2 linked regions of the Diceros bicornis minor genome follow. The protein of the gene in region 1 purifies or fractionates together with the protein of each later gene. This does not show direct contact. Links are inferred from orthologs where the notes say so. Each region holds a gene or a part of one and is shown on either strand. Other genes may lie near its edges.

Evidence for each region. Proteins that work in one complex are often made in the same cells at the same time.
Region 2: the proteins of KIF23 (region 1) and SHCBP1 purify together in Homo sapiens (affinity purification with western blotting; 9 studies listed by BioGRID and IntAct, with this or other methods). This does not show direct contact. The link is inferred for Diceros bicornis minor from reciprocal best matches to the Homo sapiens genes KIF23 and SHCBP1.

The regions. Positions count from the first base shown.
Region 1 is NC_080744.1:63,211,779-63,215,528, forward strand, and holds the start of KIF23 (kinesin-like protein KIF23), read left to right. Parts: upstream 1-903; 5' UTR 904-1,016; coding exon 1,017-1,027; intron 1,028-2,588; coding exon 2,589-2,658; intron 2,659-3,750.
Region 2 is NC_080771.1:562,400-566,149, reverse strand, and holds the start of SHCBP1 (SHC SH2 domain-binding protein 1), read left to right. Parts: upstream 1-822; 5' UTR 823-837; coding exon 838-952; intron 953-3,682; coding exon 3,683-3,750. UniProt on the Homo sapiens protein: May play a role in signaling pathways governing cellular proliferation, cell growth and differentiation. May be a component of a novel signaling pathway downstream of Shc. Acts as a positive regulator of FGF signaling in neural progenitor cells.

The DNA of each region.
Region 1 (3,750 bases):
TACTCTTTGATTCAGCAATTCTGCTTCTAGGAATTTATCCTACAGATTTACTTGCATTGTGTAAAATGATGAATTTCCAAGTTTATTCACATAACTATGTAACAGCAAAGATCAGAACCATCTTTATGTCAAACAATATGGGCCAAGGATATTACATTATGCCTATCCTTACTGGTGTCTGGTCCTGTAGGAAGCTGTGAAGATGGGACTAGACTTCCACCAGGGCACAGATGTAGATGCATATTTGATACCCATCAGTTTAGGGGCAAAGGTCGAAATGAGAAAGAATCAGTTAACTAAGAAAGTGGTTCAGGACGTTCCTCCTCGAGGGCAAGGTCCAAATCTTTTTCATCTCTGTATGCCCAGGATCAAATATTAATAACAATTTGAGGAAACAATGTATATATAGGAAAGAGCTGGAGGAACCAGAGAGGGTGAGGCCAGGAAAGATGAAGAAGAGAGAGAGAAGGCCGAGATGATGTAGCGATATAGAAGCCAGAGAGGGAGTCTGAGACTCTGGGCAGGGCACAGCACAAGAACAGGACACTCCTGGGCGGGAACGACATTGCTGACCCCTCTAAATCAACCCGGGACTTGCCCTCCCACCGTCCTTCTTGTGCTGTAGGAAAACAAACCGTCAATTTCCTCATCGGAAAATGGAAGGGGTGGGATTTCATATCCGAGGTCCGCCCTCAAGGCCCGCAGCCCGGACAGCCAGCCTTCTCTGCCCCCTCCCGCGTCGGTCGCCTAGGAGACGAGCGTCACTTCCGGCAGAGCAGTCACCGCCTCTGCGGCCCCGCCCCTGCCCGCTGACGAGCGCTGATTGGCCCGTTTGAAATGCGCCGGGCGCGAGCTCACCTGGGCCCGCCGCGGCGTCGTCCGGCTTCCCCCAGCGCCGCGCCTGAGCCGCCGAGCCCCGCTTGCCGAAGCCCGTCCCTGCGGCCGGCCGTCCTCGCCAGTCCGCCCGATCGAGCCCGGCGTCCCGCGCGCGTCGGGGCAGCGCGGAGCCCGCCGCCATGAAGCCGGCGTGAGTACGGGGCCGCGCAGCAGGGGCCCCCAGTCCTCACGCCGCCGCCCGCCGCGCTCCGCGCCCTCCGCCCCCAGCCCCGCGCTGCCCGGGCCGCGGCCCCCAAACTGGGAGCCCGGGCGCCGAGACCCGTCCGTTCGCCGCCCGGAGCCGGCGCCCGCCGCCCCGCCCTGGCCTCCCGCGGCCGGGAGAGGTCGCCCCACGCCGGGGGGCGGGAGGAGGTTTGCGCCCCGACGCCGTCCCCGTAGCCGGGTTGCCGTCCGCCTCGCTCCGGGACCGCCGCCTCCCGCCCTTCGGTTCTTCTTCCCTCTTTGGCCGCCCGCGCTCCGGGGTGCATTTTGCCGAGTTAGTGCGGGTCGGAGGCGACGTGGGCGGGGGTCGTCTCGCGTGTGGCGCCGAGTGATGTGCCCCGGTGTGGGGGGTTGGGGCGGGGGTCTCAGTCCCCTGAGAGCCCTGGCGTCCTCGAGGCCGAGCCCATGCCCTTATATAGGCCAGTTACTCTTCTGTTCTTTGGCCGCAGACGGCCCCCGCCCCTACACGAGCGCACACGCCCACACTCCTCACCAAGTCGGTGACGTTTTAGGCGCCGCATAATTCCTTGACCGGCTACTGGGTAGAGAAATACTGTGCAAAGAAGGGGGTTGACTTTATAATTATCATCCTCATGTAGCTAGTCGTTTGCAAAAGGCAGCTTGTTTCCTTAAGTGGCCAAAGTAAAGATCTTTATCTTAAAAAAAATTTAAGTAAAGCTACCATAATACTTTGCACTTAAAACACTAATTTGCTTCTGTTTCATCTGGGAAAATACTGAGAAAATATTTTAATGATCTATAGTCCAAGCCAATAATTTCAATTAATTTTAGTGTTAAATGTTCATCTAGCCTATAGATAAATGTGGAGGGGAAAAAGTGGCATGCTAGAGAAATGGTGAAATAAGTCAAAATATCTTCTTTTGTCTCTAAGGGAGCAAGATATTGCAGTTTGAGGAGCACATTTTGTTTGGGGACAAAGGATGATAGTTTTGAGAATTCAATAACCAGTTGTTCCTTGAAAGTAGAGACATAAATCTTGATGAAAAGGTGGATTCCTCCATCTGCATTTTTATAATTTATTGAAGTTAATAGCTTGTCAGTCTGCCTTGGCAATGGCTGTTGGCGCAGTGTGTGTGCTTGTGTGCATATATAAATACCTTTCAAGATAAGTGTGGTCAGTTATCTGTAGATTTTTCAAATTGGTAGTGCCTCTGTAAAATTGTTGCTCAAGAAAATATACAAGCTATTTTTCCATAGAGAACTATTTTAAATATAGAACTATTCAAAGAGTAAGTAGGTACACTTAGTAGCGAAACGTCTCCTAAACCTATTTTAATTACTTTTGGATTATGCATGCCACAAACACTCTTCTACTGGAATTTATTCTTATTCATGTTATTTGGGATGTAGTGTTTTGGAATTGCTAAGGAGTAATTTTATAAACCCTAGGAAGGTTGTCTCTGTATGACTTATAGGTGAGGTTTTTGTATGTTCGTGTTGAACTGAAATGTTTTTTTATCTATGACCAGGAGGACTAAGACACCCAGGAAACCTCTAGTGAAGAAAGGATCCCAAACGAGTCTTAAAGACCCAGTTGGGGTAAGGTCTCCCTGTAAATTTACATGTGTGTATTCTTTCTTCAGTCCTTTTCTTTCTTATGTGTATGCTTGGAAGGGACGGAGATGTGGAAGTGGAGTCAAGGAACATTTAGTTAAATGGGTAAGGCTGGTTCCAGCTTTGAAATTTTGTTTCTATGTAGGATTCAATAGTCCAGTAAAATGAAGTCTTTGATTGTCGATTGCATACCTCCTATAACTAATTATGATTTAAAGTTAGATAATGAACAATATTCAACTATCCCAGAGAATTCTTCATCCTCTCTGGGATGGGGGAAACTTTCTGTTGGACGAGCATTCTCCTGTCTTTTGGATGGTTATATAGTAACTGAGGGCATGCTTCATAAAGAAAGCCCCAACTCCATGCTTTTTGGGATGAGTTTCATAAAGCCTCTGGTACAGAGCAGCATAATTTAGTCTAATGACTACTCCTAATTGCGTGTACTGCACTAGTTTCAGGCTTGGGAATTCGCTTTTAAAAGTAAATGGCAATCAAAGAAGGTGGGTTTGCCCTGGGGTATTTTAAATCCCCCTTCACTGGCACTAGAGTGTGTCTGTCCCTCTGAGTAGAGGGAACCAGATGCTTTGCACATACAGCTGAACAGTTTTTCCTCAACCCTATCTCTGATTAAGAAGACCAAATTTAAGATCTAGCACTTATTTGTATATTAAGTGTTAAGCTGGCAAGTGTTAATTGACATCCAATTCCAAAGAATTCTAACAGCTTTTCAAATAATTTTCGTTGTGTGATATGTTATTTTTAGAGAGATTTTTATATTAGTAGTAGTATAACTGTACTAAATTTGTGCCAATATTATAGTGAAGAGCTGTGTGATTTGATGCTTTTGTTATCCAAAATTATTTTAATTTTATGTGCATTTAAAATCTTCTCTCATATCTAATATATCTGTTTGCATTTGACAATTTCAGGTAGCAGGTTTTAGTTTTCAGAACTACGTTTATATAGATCTCTTAAATTGAGAGACCAAGTGTTTGTTGAGGGAATGAATGGGCAGCTTAAATGAACAGTCAGGTAAAAAGTCAACCTTTGTTCTCTAAGCGCCTGCTTGTATTT
Region 2 (3,750 bases), on another chromosome or scaffold:
AGCAAGTCTAAATACTATGTTTTTTGGTTCTCCATCCAGGGCCTTTTCCTCTATACCCTGTGAAAGACGACATGAGTGGAGCCATTTTAAAATAGAGCCAGAGCAGCCATTTCAGAGGAATCGTCTTGCCCATTTTGTTTTCTTTATCTTGCAAACCACTAACCATCCAAAGAAGTCAGTATGGAGAAGGGTATCTTGTTTGTAAGGACTGATGAAACTGGACTTGGCTGGTGACCCACAACTAACCAGTCAATGAAGTACAATTCTGGCCTTTTGTCTGAGGATGGAACCTCAGGCCAACCTATGAAGTACAAACCTAGCCTTACCTAACCCAGCACCAACGAACTCTTCTTTAATACAGCTCACCTCATCCTCCCTTTCCCTCATAAAAACCCTAAGCCCCTCTCCTGTAATTGGGACACTATTTGGGTTTCCACCTGAACCTGTGCTCCCCGAATTCAATTCTGTGATCCCAAAACAAACGCTCCACTGCCTCTCATTTTGGCTCTTTACTTCTAGGTTAAGAGCCCCATTTCCAGGCATGGCTTGTTAGTTCTTCGAAAATCACCTCAAATTACGTCCCAATTCAACTTTGTCAACCGCCTCCCTGTAAACAGAAACCCAAAACCCGGGGGCGAGAAGAACCTCTCGCCCGCCAGCGGACAGCGCGCAGGCGCAGGTCACGCGCTCGGCGGAGGCTGCAGGGGGCGGGGCCCGTGCGGATACGGGCTGTGCAAGCCTCCCTTTCATTGGCCCCAGAGCCTCGGCCCACTCTCCAATCAGAAGCGCCCGCATCATCACATCGCGAGGCTAGGAGGCCGCCCGCGGAAATTTGAAATGGCTGACGGGGTGCTGGCGGGTGTCTGGCTGGGGTCGGAGGCGATGGCGCCGTGTCCGGGGCCGGAGCCCAGTGGCTGGGGGGCCGAGGAGGAGCCGGCGCCCCTCGAGAAAGGTGAGCACCCGCCCTGCCGGCCGAGGAGCCGCCTCCCAGCGGCGGGCCGTGTCCGCGGCGGCCTGTGGCGTTGGGCCCCCCGAGGGCGCCCGGGTCTTAGGCCTTCCGGACCCGCGGGCGGGGTGACGATGGTGGCCGTGCGAGGCTCCGACCCACTCTCGGGACGTCAAAGTCGGGCGGTACCTTGGGCAACTGCCCCTTCTCCCTGGCAGTCTGGCCTCAGCTTCCCGAGACCGGGAGGAGTTGACCGGCCGGGAGTTCCCAGCCCGGATGTCTGGGTGGGCTTCCGGAGGCTCGGGGCGCCTGTCTCTGTGCGGGAGGGCTCACCTTTTCTATCCGCATCTCAGAGGAGGTCGTGAACCACACTCTGCTTTCTCGAAAGAAGCAACCTGAACCCTTGGCCTAGATAGCTGCACTGAGCACTGAGGGCAGGTGACATGCCCAAAGTTAGCGGAGCCAATTTGGGACAGAGTCTGAAAATAGAACCCAGGTCTAGTTCTCAGTCCTTTCTGCCTCTTTATGGAGATTCCATTATTTATTTATTTTTCCTGATATTTTAAGCTGGTTCAGGTTTTTAGTTTAACATTTTCAGTTGCATTGTGTACTGGAAAGTCCTGACAAAGTGAGAAAACATGGATGTGACTTAATTCCACTACTAACCCCTCTTATGAACTGGCAAAAGTCACGTGGCTTCAGTTTTCCCATCTGGAAAACAGAGCCAATGGTCCTACAGAGTGGTGTCAATGAAGTGAAATAATGTGTGAAAAGCAGTACTTTCAAAGTGGCTGTAAAGAATTGTGCTGACGTAAGGTATTCTTTCTTTTCCTCTTTTTTTATTGTTAAAATACACATAACATAAAATTTACCATCTTAATCATTTTTTAAGTGTATAGGTCAGTGGTATTAAATACTTTTACGTTGTTGTATAGCCATCACCAGAATCCAATCCCATAACTCTTTTCATCTTGCAAACTGAAACTCTATACCTGTTGAATGATAACTCCCCATTCCCCCTCCCGTCAGGCCTGGCAACCATGATCATACTTTCTGTCTATGATTTTGACTACTCTAAGTACCTCATATCAGTGGAATCATACAGTATTTGTCTTTCTGTGACTGGCTTATTTCACTCAGCATAATGTCCTCAAGGTTCATCCATGTTGTAGCATATTGCGGAATTTCCTTCCTTTTTAAGGTTGAATAATGTTCTATTGTATGGATATACCACATTTTGCTTATCCATTTATCCATTGATGGACACTTGGGTTGCTTCCCTGTTTTAGCTATTGTGAATAATGCTGCTATGAATGTGGGTGTACCAATATCTCTTGGAGACCCTGCTTTCAATTCTTTGGGGTGTATACCCAGAACTGGAGTTTCTGGGTCATATGGTGATTCTATTTTTAAGTTTTTGAGGAACCACCATTTTGTTTTCCACAGCAGCTGTACCATTTTGCATGCCTGTCAGCAGTGCACAAAGGTTTCTATTTCTCCACATCCTTGCCAACACTTGTTTTCTTGATAGCTTTTCTTGTTTTTTTGATAGTAGCCATCCTAATGGGTGTGAGGTGAAGGTATTAGTTCTTTAACAAACATTTACATATACTATGTGATGGGTACTGTTGTAAGTGATTAACAAGTAATTTATTTAATTCTCAATTTAATTGAAGTAGGCATACTATTTTACCTTCCCTTTATAGGAGAGGAAACTGATGCACAGAGAGGTTGTCTCACAGCTAGTAAGGTATTGATGTCCTCTGAGGCTCATGTGCGCTGGTGTTGGAGAGCAGTAGCCCCTTGAGTACACTTTGGTCATCTGTTGGGTCAAGTAATTCTGGTGGCTGAACAGGGGCAAAGAAGTCGAAGAAAGAGAAAATGTAGGGGGTGGAGGGAGAGAAAGACTGCTGCTAATAACAGTCTCAGATACGTTCCCTGAAACCACCTCTGGAAACTACTTTGCGAGTCTAAATGCTACCCTCAGCATTGTTTATTTAGTAGTCGTTTTGTTGATTAAAAACATCATATTACACAGAATTAGATATGCCACTGGCCAAATCAGGCCTTATGAAACATAATTACATACAGCCCAACCCGAATGTGATTAGCATTTTCTAATCTTTTCCTTAGGTACAGTCATTGAAATTAGTGAGGAGGAACCTAGTAGCTTTAGTGAAGTAAACCTTATGCACTATTAAGAATCTCTCATCCCTGTTTATTGAGGGACCATTGACAGACTGATGTTGTAGAAAATAAAAGGAGACTTCAACTCGTTTGAGAGGGAGTGTAGGAAACCAGCTCTTTACTTTAATGCAGCTTTATGGAATTGTTTTGGGAAAAAAAAGACTAAGATATTTGACTGTTACACGTTGCTAGCCATAGTAAGAATCATAGCTGTATCCTTTGAAGGAGAACTTGGGTGATTTCCACTGAAATAAAAAACAACCCTCTTGCTCTGCCTCCCTGAAAAACTTCACAGAACAACAACAAAAACCTAACCTGTGAAAGATTTTAAGTTCATATTATTTTGAAGTAGAACTTGGATTTTGAGATATTTTTAAGTTTGGAAAACTGGTTTCTTCTGACAACGATAGAGGTAAGGAAAGCATCATACCAAATCCTTGTTTATGTTTTGCTTGGAGTTTCTAAGCAAGGATATGAAAACAGTAGCAGTGTATAAGCACTGGATGTGTCTGGGATAGTTGAGCCTACTTATTTTTGTTGTTCTCTTAGGTTTCTTCCAAGATGAAGATTCATACAGTGATTGTAGCAATCATGATAAGCCAGGTACCGGTTTACAA